Arabidopsis thaliana: one gene and its partners. The protein of the gene in region 1 interacts with the protein of each later gene in a pairwise test. Each region holds a gene or a part of one and is shown in the gene's direction. Other genes may lie near its edges.

Region 1 (4,176 bases):
ATCTAGCAAATTTTTTATAGTTATAGATTTAATATACGCAATGTTAGCTTGATTTTGTTTCTAACTTAAGGAAAAGTTGAAGGATGTTTTAATTTGCAAGGTTCTCTTTCAAAAAGATTTCGTGTAAATTCGACAACGGCCTCAAACCTACTCTAATCCTGACTCTAAATAATATTATAGGTTGAAAGCTTTGTAATTATTGTTTACTAAAATAAGAGAAGAAAACATTATTACTTACTCTCCTTTAGAAATATATGTTTGCATTATGCTGTATATATAGATGAATAAATGCCATAAACGTTTAAATGTGTGTTGGTAGATGTCATTTTACTTCATTCTTAGAGGTCTCTTCTATCAAATTTAGTTACGTATATAAATATAGATGTCTTGTGCTTTCTTGCAAGGAAATAAACAGAGATAATATACTATTTCATACACATCCACACACATATAGATGTCTTTTTGTTTGTTGCATGGATGTAGACATACATCCATTCACATTTCCAAGTATATACACTAACCTAATGACCTAATGTTCTTGAGAGAGACTTCTTTCACAACCTCTTCTAGAATGTGAGTTTCTTATATTTTTGTTGGTATAAAGTATTTGAACATCTTTATCAAAAGTTAAAATGTTTGACCATATTCTTGGTAATTCAACCGGTAAGTAAATGTTATTCTTCTATGACAGAACCCTTAATTTTGCCTGTTGTATACTAGAGGTTTGGTTGGGTGAAAAGTGGGCATGATAAAAAGAACAACATTTAGTTTTCCTCCTTGATTTTTCTAAATTAGAGTTTCGTATCAAAATACCTAAAAAAGCTTGTTTTGTGGTGCTTCCAATTTCGAAATCGGCTAAACTTTTTCCACATGATTTCTTCTTTTACGATAGTAAGATTTAGAAGAAAATAAAAACTGAATAACGTCAGATTTTCCTTAATAAAAGAAGAAGAAAAATCTCACAACATTTTAAGTTCCTTTATTTTTTTGATATGTGCCCTAATAAATGCAGTGAAATAAGCTCACAACAAAAGATGCACAACGAGATAAAGCCAAATGAAATTTAGTACTGGTATACAAATTTTAATGACACGTTAATACTCTTTTTCGTTTTGGTTTTATAATCGTACTTAATATTCATAACTAGCTTCGAATCTGGTATTTGTATACTTAAAAAGCTTACATCAGCCAATCTACTATCATTGAAATTGTAGTGAGAAAATCTAATATAATTCTTTAGTGACTGTTTGTCAAAAAAAAAAAAAACTCATGTCTAAAGTACATAACAAATTCAAATTTTGATACAAAATTAGTTATTTGTATTTGTTGTGACCATTTCTATTCTACATTTTGTTTGATTATTAGTTGAATTATTCTTAGTTAAATAGAGCAAACAAATTAAATTAAATGATTTCTTAATCTATAATTACTGTAAATACTTCAAACATCTTTTAAATAGAAACAAATAAAATAATTACTAAGACATTTGTCCTTATATAAGTCTAATAAATGTGTGTTTTAATTCAATACCTCCAAAAATAATTTCAAAAAACTAGAGTTACTGAATTGGTGCTTTCACACGGTGCATGCATTGTATTCACACCTATATGCATGTCATATATTCATGGTCTCTATGATCTCGCTCTATATAAACACCACCCAATCGACCAACCTTCTTCTCTGATTATTTTCTCAAATTATTTAATTAATTTCTTCTTCTTCATCACCACCAATTACACTCAAAATTATGGTGTTTGCACATTTGAACCTTCTTCGGAAGATTGTGGGGATTATAGGTTAGTCCAGAATTTTGACATCTACAAGTTATTATATCTATCATGATTTTTTTGTCCCTTCTTCTTAACTTTGGATGATCTTGTTTGCAGGAAACTTCATCGCTCTATGTCTGTTCTTGTCACCAACGTAAGTATTTTGCTATATCTATGATTTAAATAAAATTCCAGAAACAATGAAAGATACGTGAAAAAGAGATTCATAAAAACGAAAATCGTATTTCTTAAAGAAAACCAAACTTGTTTCATGAATTTAACACATGCATGGTTCATCCTGACTACTGAAAGATCTGAAATTTTTTGTTTTTCATTCTCACTGCAGCTTTCAAAATTTTCTTTGTGTAGTATAATCACAATGTGAAAATTGATACTTTTTTCCTCATAATATAATGTTTTTTCCTATTATACTAATTGATAACAATTAAGAAAGTTTATTTATGTAATAGAGTTTCTTCCAAAACAAGAGAAAAACTAAAAGTATGTATCATCAATAAATGACTAATACTTTTAATAAATGTCTCATTACATCAGGCCAACATTTGTTCGGATAGTGAAAAAGAAGTCAGTGGAGGAATATTCACCAATACCGTATTTAGCGACTCTTATAAACTGTTTGGTTTGGGTTCTTTACGGACTACCAACGGTGCATCCGGACAGCACATTGGTCATTACAATAAACGGCACAGGGATCTTGATCGAAATCGTATTCCTTACGATCTTTTTCGTTTATTGTGGCCGCCAAAAACAGCGGTTGATAATATCCGCTGTTATAGCGGCTGAAACCGCGTTCATAGCTATTCTTGCGGTTTTGGTATTAACTCTCCAACACACTACCGAAAAACGTACTATGAGTGTTGGAATCGTATGTTGCGTTTTCAACGTTATGATGTACGCTTCTCCATTGTCTGTTATGGTACGTAACGTTTCGTTTTTGTGTTTAAGATTTTAAAAGCTTTTGTTCTTTTTAGAGAAGTTATTGTTTCCTCTTTAACTCTTTTCCCTATTTTTGTTGGTTCATGTATTATTTTTTGTTTGACTAAATGATGATAGGAACCAAACACTACTTCATTAACCATTCTCATCTTTTTGTTGTTGTCCTTGCATGAAATATAAAGAAAATGGTAATAAAAACAAAAAGTGTGGAGTTCATGCCGTTTTGGTTATCGGTAGCTGGATTTCTAAACGCAGGCGTTTGGACAATTTATGCTCTCATGCCTTTCGACCCATTCATGGCTGTGAGTTTTGTTCACACTCTCTTTCATTATAATTTCATGTTTCACCTATAAAACTATATTAACTACTTATGTGACAAAAAGAAAAATGTATATGTACATGAGTAAAGAATTTTCATGAAATAAAAATCTAAGCAATTTGTACATTTTACAACTGTTGTTTTTCTATAATGGGTATTTGCAGATACCAAATGGAATTGGATGTTTATTTGGGCTAGCTCAACTAATATTGTATGGTGCCTACTATAAGTCCACCAAAAGAATAATGGCGGAAAGAGAAAACCAACCTGGTTACGTCGGTTTATCAAGTGCGATCGCTCGTACCGGATCTGAGAAAACCGCGAATACCAACCAAGAACCTAACAATGTTTAATTTGGTCTAGTGTTATTAAACTTCGGATTATGGGATTTTTTTCCCATCCAAGACTCTTAGTATATGAATAAGATGGAAACTTTCATTACTTTGTTTTTCTTTTTGTCTAAAATTCCATTACTTTGTTTTAAAATTCAAACTTTGTAATGCAATTTTGACGTCCCTTTTTTGAGGAGCAATAAGCTACTTTTCAAAGTTTCTGGTGTAATGTTCAAACTTTTATGATTATGCGGGGTTAAATTAAAATAAATTAGTCGTCGTCATTAGTCAACGTGACTCACTCACTCCACTCTCAAATTTTGAAATCAAACAGCTAAAAGCTATTCTCTTCTCCGAGGAAGAAGAAGCTATAGAGAATTGGAAATGCTCTAATGTTTCAAATAGAACCTGGTTGCAAATTCATATGGTCAAAGCCACGCATTGACTTTTTTCATCCCAACCCAAATCCTCATTTACAAATAAATCCAAACTCTAAGAAAACACAACAATGTTCACAAAAACACAAACACATCTTCAATATAGCAAACGCATAACATTTAAACCTACTATTTGTACACAGCTTTATGTCGGACCTACTATTTGGTCCAAGAAAATAATTCGGGACTTATAGACATACCAATCAAAACCAAAGCCTAAAGAAAACTAATCCACATAAACTTTGCAATTGCAACTAACTGATTCTATACATGAGTAGAATAAATGATTATGCACTTTGTAAGCAGGCCATTAGAGAATAGCAAAGTTATCTTGATAAAGTTTTCCCCAAAAGTAAGCTTGT
Region 2 (4,419 bases), on another chromosome or scaffold:
AGGAGTACTCGTCATTCTCTCTATATGTGCAAACACATTCACCTACTGCATTCGGAAACGAAAACTACAAAATGGAAGAAACACAGATCCTGAAACAGGAGAGAATATGTCCATATTCAGCGTTGATGGCAAATTCAAATACCAAGATATCATCGAATCAACAAACGAATTCGATCCAACACACCTCATCGGAACCGGAGGATACAGCAAAGTCTACAGAGCAAACCTCCAAGATACAATCATAGCCGTTAAACGACTACATGACACAATAGACGAAGAGATATCAAAGCCAGTTGTGAAGCAAGAGTTCCTAAACGAGGTAAAAGCATTAACAGAGATCCGTCACCGCAACGTTGTGAAGCTCTTCGGCTTCTGCTCCCACCGCCGCCACACATTTCTGATCTACGAGTACATGGAAAAAGGAAGTTTAAACAAACTCTTAGCCAACGACGAAGAAGCTAAGCGACTCACTTGGACCAAAAGGATCAACGTCGTGAAAGGTGTGGCTCACGCTTTATCGTATATGCACCATGACCGAATAACACCGATCGTTCACCGTGATATTAGCAGCGGAAACATCCTTCTCGATAACGATTACACAGCTAAGATCTCCGATTTTGGTACAGCAAAACTTCTAAAGACGGATTCATCAAACTGGTCCGCCGTTGCTGGAACCTACGGCTACGTTGCACCAGGTAAATCTAAATCCCTAAATCTGATTTTGAGCTTATGAAATTTAAATCACTAAATTCGAAATTGAACTTGATTTTTCGCAACAGAGTTTGCTTACACGATGAAGGTGACGGAGAAATGCGATGTGTATAGCTTCGGGGTTTTGATACTCGAATTGATAATTGGGAAACATCCGGGAGATTTGGTATCGAGTTTGTCTTCGTCTCCAGGAGAAGCTCTGTCGCTAAGAAGCATTTCCGATGAACGTGTATTAGAACCACGGGGACAAAATAGAGAGAAGCTCTTGAAGATGGTGGAAATGGCTTTATTGTGTTTACAAGCAAATCCAGAATCTCGGCCAACGATGTTGTCAATCTCCACTACATTTTCTTAGAAACTGAACTTCTCCATCAATTTCTATGTTATCATTGTGTTTATCTATACAGCAACAGTAATCTCTGTTGGCTTTTGTTCTCTGTTCTTGCTTGTGTTTGCAGGAAGGGGTGTCGACTCTCGTTTCAGCTTTTGTTGTTGTTGTTTGGGCTTCTCGGCCTGCTTCAGCTTTTGTATGTATTGGGCTGCGCCCTTGTTGGTCTTTGGGCCTTGTTTGTTTTTATCTTTGCGGCTTGCGTGCCATGTTAGGCCTTTTGGTCTTGTAATGTGTTTGGTTAATGGAAATCTATGAAGTTAAAAAAATGAAAAAAAAAAAAAAAAAAAAAAAACTGTTAAAAGCATTTTTAGATAATGGTCATTGTGTTACTCCTCACATATGAACATTCAAATAAAGTTTTGGATACTGTCTATCTGTATATCGCCAGAATTAGTAAGAGATTTCTTATGCATAGTAGGAGATTAAAAAAAAAAATGCATAGTAGGAGATTTGTAAAGAAAGAAATAAGTTTTTTTTTGTATAATGAGTTCTAATGGACATCACGTTTGCAAGTGATAATAAAAAAATCTTACACTCTTGTACTCTGTAACGTGTTAAAATAATACAAAATGGATTATAATAACGAAATCTAAACACTTATAATCTTGCGGATGATTTTGTGACAACCAATGAAACCGTTAATGCGAGATTACGATAGTTTTTTATGAAATCATGATTTGTGCATAAAGTTAAGCAAATGCTAAATAATTCATAAAGTGTAAGAAACACGTGGCAGAAGAATTAATAATTCGTTTGGGATATTTTTGGTATATACGGACAGGCCACGTCGTGTCCTAAACCTCTTAGCCTTTCCCTTTATAAGTCAATCTTGTGTCGGCTTCGACTCCCAACATACACAAAACACTAAAAGTAGAAGAAAAATGGCGACTCTTAAGGTTTCTGATTCTGTTCCTGCTCCTTCTGATGATGCTGAGCAATTGAGAACCGCTTTTGAAGGTATAATAGTTTCATGATTCTTCTTGTTACGTTCTCTGTTTTTGTTACCTTCTTGTTTACATGATCAGTATCCACTTTTTGTAAAAGTGATGTGAATCTGTTGGTTTTCGTTTGGTGGGTTATTGTATGATCATTTGTTTTGATTGTTTTTCATGTGGATCGATCTTTGTTTTGGTCCGATGATATGAATGTTGTGTCGGTAGCGTTTTATGATCATTTGTACGATGATGTAGATCGAGATTGTTCCTTCATGGATCGGATCAGTGACAATGATCTCCTTTCTTTGTGTGATCTATAACAATCTTTTGTGTTAGTGATGAAGTTTTGATTGTCTGATCATGTTGATAATGACAATGATTACATTCACACGAGATCTTGATTGAGTTGTGTTTTGATTCTCACTGTCACAGATCTGTCTTCTTAGTCTAGATCTATAATGTAGTTACGTGTAATACAACACTAAGATCTTAAGATTTATATTTTGTGAATCTGTTTGACCGGTTCTGTTATTATGGATCTGAAGTGTGTGTGACTTGGATCTGAAGTATGTGACTTTGATGGTTATGTAAAGTGAATCTGATTCGTGTTTTTCGCAGGATGGGGTACGAACGAGGACTTGATCATATCAATCTTGGCTCACAGAAGTGCTGAACAGAGGAAAGTCATCAGGCAAGCATACCACGAAACCTACGGCGAAGACCTTCTCAAGACTCTTGACAAGGAGCTCTCTAACGATTTCGAGGTTCGGTTTTCGGACTTTTAAGTATCGACTTTTAAACATCTTGTGTGAAGTCATTGTATTCTAATTGGTTTTTTGGTCATGGACAGAGAGCTATCTTGTTGTGGACTCTTGAACCCGGTGAGCGTGATGCTTTATTGGCTAATGAAGCTACAAAAAGATGGACTTCAAGCAACCAAGTTCTTATGGAAGTTGCTTGCACAAGGACATCAACGCAGCTGCTTCACGCTAGGCAAGCTTACCATGCTCGCTACAAGAAGTCTCTTGAAGAGGACGTTGCTCACCACACTACCGGTGACTTCAGAAAGCTTTTGGTTTCTCTTGTTACCTCATACAGGTACGAAGGAGATGAAGTGAACATGACATTGGCTAAGCAAGAAGCTAAGCTGGTCCATGAGAAAATCAAGGACAAGCACTACAATGATGAGGATGTTATTAGAATCTTGTCCACAAGAAGCAAAGCTCAGATCAATGCTACTTTTAACCGTTACCAAGATGATCATGGCGAGGAAATTCTCAAGAGTCTTGAGGAAGGAGATGATGATGACAAGTTCCTTGCACTTTTGAGGTCAACCATTCAGTGCTTGACAAGACCAGAGCTTTACTTTGTCGATGTTCTTCGTTCAGCAATCAACAAAACTGGAACTGATGAAGGAGCACTCACTAGAATTGTGACCACAAGAGCTGAGATTGACTTGAAGGTCATTGGAGAGGAGTACCAGCGCAGGAACAGCATTCCTTTGGAGAAAGCTATTACCAAAGACACTCGTGGAGATTACGAGAAGATGCTCGTCGCACTTCTCGGTGAAGATGATGCTTAATCAATCAATCCTCCACAGAGAAACATAAGCTGCTCTACAGCTTCTGTTATCTCTTATCTCCCTCTCTCTCTCTTTGATGAGTTTCAAATCGTTTGATTTTGTTTCTACAAAAACCTTGTTTGTTTCTGTTGTGTGTTTTGAGTTCCTAAATAATGCAAAAGAGAGAGACAGAGAGAACCAGTGTGGTCTCTTAAGTTATATATATATGAAGAGCATTGGCCTAAAACACAGACTAACAAGTAGTTCTGGTTTTGACAAAAGTTGTTGTCACTACAAAAAGGGAGACCAACAACAAAAAAGTTAAGGGCATTGTTTTCTCTAAAGCCCTATCCGATCTTGAAACACAAAATAACAACAACAACATTTTTTAGTTACTAATCAAAGTCACTTCTTCAAGATGGTCTTGGAGAAAATCTTCTTGCAGTAAGGGCTCGAGTGTAGTTTCCCGTACCTGTAAACCTTCGCCACCAATTTAGCACGAACAGGTCCCTGCATCAACCCCAAAAGCCATGTCAAGTTCTGTTTCTAAAAGCTTATAACATATGTATTGATTTGGACTTACTTTGGTTACAGAGAGAGCAGTTTGGATCACATAGTTCGCATAAGGATCTTGCAGAAGATATTCAAAGTTTGGAACACAGAGGAGCTCACGGACGATCTCAGCTCGACTCTCTGGATACTTCCTTAGACACTTCTCAATCACGTGGCTACTAAACTTCTGAGTAGCTAACTCGGCGTAGTGCATTCTAAACTGAACCAGCAACTTCACTGCAGAAACTTGTTGATCTATTAAGTACTGC
Region 3 (4,561 bases), 1.6 Mb from region 1:
CGATAAAACTGTTAACTAGACATATAACAATCATTATTTTACAAGATCCTATAATTCAAATACATATTCAAATATTTATTTAATATGCAAAGATTTTTATTTTATACCGAATAAATACTAAGATTTATCTTGTTTATTGACTTTTATTTTTAAAAAATTTTATACCGTATTTATGTCCGATCAGAGCCGTCCATGAACGCAATAGGACCAAATTTATGCTTGCGGCCTCAATTACTACAAATAAAATATTGACCTAATTTTTTTATAACTTTCAGTAAAAACGTTGATTATTTGATTCTTAGATACCTATGGTCGTCAAAAGTTTGAGTCCATCTACCTTCATTTACCTTGTTATTTTTTCATTTTCACTCATTAAAATAGGTCTAAATTTTGTTCTTTGCTTGCAATCTATTAAATACTAGAGACGGCTCTGTGTTCGATTAATGACACCACGATGGGACTTATAATACAAATCAGTATACTCATATATTACAAGATCATGTTAACTTTCTTACTATTTATATTTTGGTTAGCAACATGCAATATGCGGGTTTGAATAAGGCCATAAGGGTGATGACACACTGACAACACTAACACAAACCATTGGATTACATTTTTTTGTTCGTGTAGAAGTTAATCAGGCGGCTAGTTGACTTGACTTGGCCTGAAAAATGCAAAAACCTCACATATTTAAGCACATCGTGACATGGTCCGATTTTTGCTTTCTTTTGTTTTGTGGCTTAGATTGTAAAGCTCTGTCCGCACTAGACTCAACTTACATATTCATATTCATATTCACCTCTGGTCCATATATATTATAAAAGTCCAATAGAACATGTTCACGAGAATCTGTATAGGTAAACCTCATCCACCATTTAACATTTCATGAACATGTTTGACTTCCATTAACAAGATCGATGTCTTTGTAATTTAATATTAAAAAGAACTTTAACATAAAAACAAGCATGGAAAATTCAAAAAGAATTGGTCAAAGAGTATTGCCAAAACAAAAATGTAAAGAAACGGGAAAAGGGAAGATAAAGCAGCTAATTTTCTTTCTCCAACTCTGACCAATGACCATATCCAAGCGTGTATGTAATGTACCTAGTCAACATGTTACAAGTCGTGGCCCTCCTCACCTTATTATATATGTCATCTACATAAACATCAGACATCACACACCAACATCATTATTATGTTCTTTGATACAAAAGTACTCAATTATCCTACAATTCACAAATCTATCTCCATGGCGTCCACGATGCAAAGAACAAGCAGCTCCGCGGCCAGTAACGAGAGGCAACTTAGCCAGCTACAGAGACGAGCTCCGTCTTTAATGATCAAACCAACGTCTTTTAGTAACTGGAACGTGGCGATCCCTCTCCTTTCACCGCTCGCTCCTTCTCTAACATCATCCTTCGACCAATCACATGTTCCTCCGCCGCAGAACAAGACTGAGATACCAGTGGAAGAAGAGGTGAAGAAGACACCAGTTTTCAAGAAATGGCAACATCCCGCGTCGCCGTTCTGCTACGAGCCAACAACGTTTGTCCCACCGTTCATCCAGGTTTAGAACGGTTCATCAAAATTTTGTAGATTTGATGACTCAGCTACCAGCCCCGTGTGAATTTTGTTCCTGTGATATTACACGCGGTTAACTATTTTTCACGTTTTTGTATCAGTTTTATCCTCTAAGAGATAATATTATTCACTAACAAAGTATTAATTCAAGTTCTAAATGGGTAAAAAAAAATGCATAAAACACATGAAACAAAATTATGGGAAAAACATGGAGAAAATAGTTGCATGAATTCTTTAAATAAATTGTCAAATTAACCCATCATACATCTAGGGTTGGACTTTTCTTTAAAGTTCATTTCTTCAAAGTGTTCACTTTTAACAAATAAAAAAACTAACTTCATGGATTCAATATGGGCCGAACTAAAGCCCAGTAAGCCCAATTCAATTTAATTCTATTTTCTTCTTCTTCTTCTAGGGACTTGTAGTACAGTAAGAACTTTCGTACGTTTCTCGCAAACAAAACACGAAAACTTACGCTTCTGGAATTGAATCCAAATCGAGAATTTCCTTTACAATGCTCTAAATTCGTCTGTTATGTTGAATCCTTCGTAAGAGAGTAGAATCGAAGACGAATCAAATGAACTTTCGAAGGTTTGATCTATTGATCTCTTCCTCTGCATTCGAATCCTGTTTTTATGTAGATTCATCAATGTTTAACAAATGATATTGATTCTGCTCTCGATCGAATTTGATCTAGATCTCTTCACAATCTCCAGATTCACTCTTTCTGAAATCTTAGTTTTTTGAATCACCGACATTCGAATTCCTGATTCTGAGTCATTGACCTAATTCTAGAGTTCTAATTACAGTTTTCCAGATTTTGAATTGAGTGTATCCAACTAGAATTGGAGAAAATTGGATCTGATTAAGAACCAATGGTTTTGATTTCTGTAGGGAGAATCGTGCTTCGAGAACGTCTCTCTTTGATGGCCTTGATGGACTTGAAGAAGGTCGCTTGAGAGCTTCTTCTTCGTATGCTCATGACGAACGTGATAATGATGAAGCTTTGGAAAATCTTCAGGACAGAGTTTCGTTTCTCAAGAGAGTATGTTTCTTTCATCTATATAACTAAAGAATCAAAATATCAACACAAGCATAAACATTAGGATTAAGAATTGTGATTCTTTATTGTGAAATGGATGGTGCTACTGATCCTTATTGTTTGAGAAAGAACAGTCCCTTAAGCACTGCTAAGTCGAGACCCTAAATGTATCTTTCGAGCATCGAACGATGATCTAATGCTTTCGAAAAGTCTAGATATAAAGAAATTGAACTTAGTTTTTAGTTCCTAGATATGTATTGAAATTGTAGATTAAGAACATTCTCTCCAGCATTGCTATCACTAGACCCTGTATAAGTCTTTCGGACTCAACGACAAGGATCGAGCTATGATGTAATGCCTTAGAAAAGTCTAGTTATGAAAACAATGCCTTTTTTGTTTTCACTCTTGTCAAATCTAGTTTGCAATAACGCTTGCCTGAGATGTAAGTTGGTAATAATATCTTATCAGGTGACTGGAGACATACATGAAGAAGTTGAGAATCATAACCGCTTGCTTGACAAAGTGGTAAGCTGAAAGTTTGATTTCATCTGTTTCAGTTTGTAGATCTCTATCACATGCTTTTCTTCTAAGCTATTTGTTGTTGTATCTCTAGGGGAACAAAATGGACTCCGCGAGGGGGATAATGTCGGGAACGATCAACCGCTTCAAGTTGGTATGTAAATAAGATTTCGTACCTTTTATATATGCATCACCCCTTTTGTTTTTCGCTATCAAAACTTATATCTGAATAAAACTCGATTTTAACACGACAGGTCTTTGAGAAGAAGTCTAATCGAAAAAGTTGCAAACTCATAGCTTATTTTGTGCTCCTGTTCTTGATCATGTATTACCTTATTAGGTAAAATACACTTCTTCTTATAGTTATCAAAACACTTGACTTTTCTTAGGGACTGGTTCAAGTCCTTGTTCTTTGACTCGAACACTGACAATCTTTCGGATTTTGCAGGCTATTAAACTACATCAAAGGGTAAATTTGGATACAAGAAGAAAGTAGAGTGTTAAATGAATAGTTTCGTTTGGGACTTCCATTTTTGGATTTCTCCTGATGAATGAATGATTCAGACATAGTAAACAAGTCAAGGGACCCTATTGAAACCCTATTGAAACCCTATTGAAACAAGACAAAGAAAGAGATTGTGAAGAGACTAGTGAACCAACCGAAAGAAAAAATGTTTGATAGAGACTTGTTTGTCACAAGCAAAATCATCTCATGTCATTTCATGTAATGTAGCAAAAGCTTCTTTATCATTTGTCAACTATTTGATCTTGGGTTCATGTTAGCAGTTTTGTCTACAAAAAGCTTAATTGATTGATTGATAAGCTTAATTATTAGCTTTCTGTGAAAAAAAGTTTAGCACTTTGTAATAAAAACAAGATAACTTGGCGTCTTGTTTCCAAAAATTTCCAATTTTCAGAATTTTAAGGCGCAAATACCGTCCTGTATATTGACATTTTGCTAAAGATCCAAATACGTAACAACATGAGAAATATCATTTTTGAACGACTCGCAACAATTCCACAAGTTGACAGGACACTACTATGCAGAAGAGTTTGATTTTTTTTCCACTTTAGGTAACAAGTTGACAATAATCGACAAGTTCATTTTTGGTTTGGTAATAGACAACAAGTTGACATGTACATTTCCAAATGGTTCGGTTTCTAGGTCAAATCATCTTAACAATTATGTAAACTATAGTCTTAAATGTTGAATTTACGAGTGAATAACAGGTTGCTATGCTAAATAGTAAATTTCTTGAAACTACTGTTTAGATAAATAGTCAAATAACCATGAGTTTTAATATAGCTACTAGAGGATAACATTTGAGTTCTGGCACAATATATAGAAAAAAAGTAAAAAAAAAAAAATGTTACCTTATTAAATCGGGAGTAGTTTTTCAATTTCTTCTGATCTTTTAG

What was found. The genes of interacting proteins can lie anywhere in the genome.
Region 2: the proteins of SWEET7 (region 1) and ANNAT1 interact in a protein complementation assay, tested with the Arabidopsis thaliana proteins (one large-scale study listed by BioGRID).
Region 3: the proteins of SWEET7 (region 1) and ATBET12 interact in a protein complementation assay, tested with the Arabidopsis thaliana proteins (one large-scale study listed by BioGRID).

Annotation. Positions count from the first base shown.
Region 1 is NC_003075.7:6,673,321-6,677,496, forward strand, and holds SWEET7 (Nodulin MtN3 family protein), read left to right. Parts: upstream 1-1,573; 5' UTR 1,574-1,747; coding exon 1,748-1,796; intron 1,797-1,886; coding exon 1,887-1,923; intron 1,924-2,324; coding exon 2,325-2,706; intron 2,707-2,908; coding exon 2,909-3,028; intron 3,029-3,209; coding exon 3,210-3,398; 3' UTR 3,399-3,661; downstream 3,662-4,176. UniProt on the Arabidopsis thaliana protein: Mediates both low-affinity uptake and efflux of sugar across the plasma membrane.
Region 2 is NC_003070.9:13,223,321-13,227,739, forward strand, and holds ANNAT1 (annexin 1), read left to right. Parts: upstream 1-1,847; 5' UTR 1,848-1,983; coding exon 1,984-2,059; intron 2,060-2,655; coding exon 2,656-2,801; intron 2,802-2,887; coding exon 2,888-3,619; 3' UTR 3,620-3,919; downstream 3,920-4,419. Other genes in the region: AT1G35710 (kinase family with leucine-rich repeat domain-containing protein), read left to right, coding at 1-695, 780-1,066; PUM9 (pumilio 9), read right to left, coding at 4,004-4,108, 4,182-4,419.
Region 3 is NC_003075.7:8,308,324-8,312,884, forward strand, and holds ATBET12 (Target SNARE coiled-coil domain protein), read left to right. Parts: upstream 1-1,995; 5' UTR 1,996-2,158; coding exon 2,159-2,172; intron 2,173-2,475; coding exon 2,476-2,626; intron 2,627-3,091; coding exon 3,092-3,148; intron 3,149-3,236; coding exon 3,237-3,296; intron 3,297-3,396; coding exon 3,397-3,482; intron 3,483-3,590; coding exon 3,591-3,615; 3' UTR 3,616-4,061; downstream 4,062-4,561. Other genes in the region: AT4G14450 (uncharacterized protein), read left to right, coding at 1,196-1,573. UniProt on the Arabidopsis thaliana protein: Required for vesicular transport from the ER to the Golgi complex. Functions as a SNARE associated with ER-derived vesicles.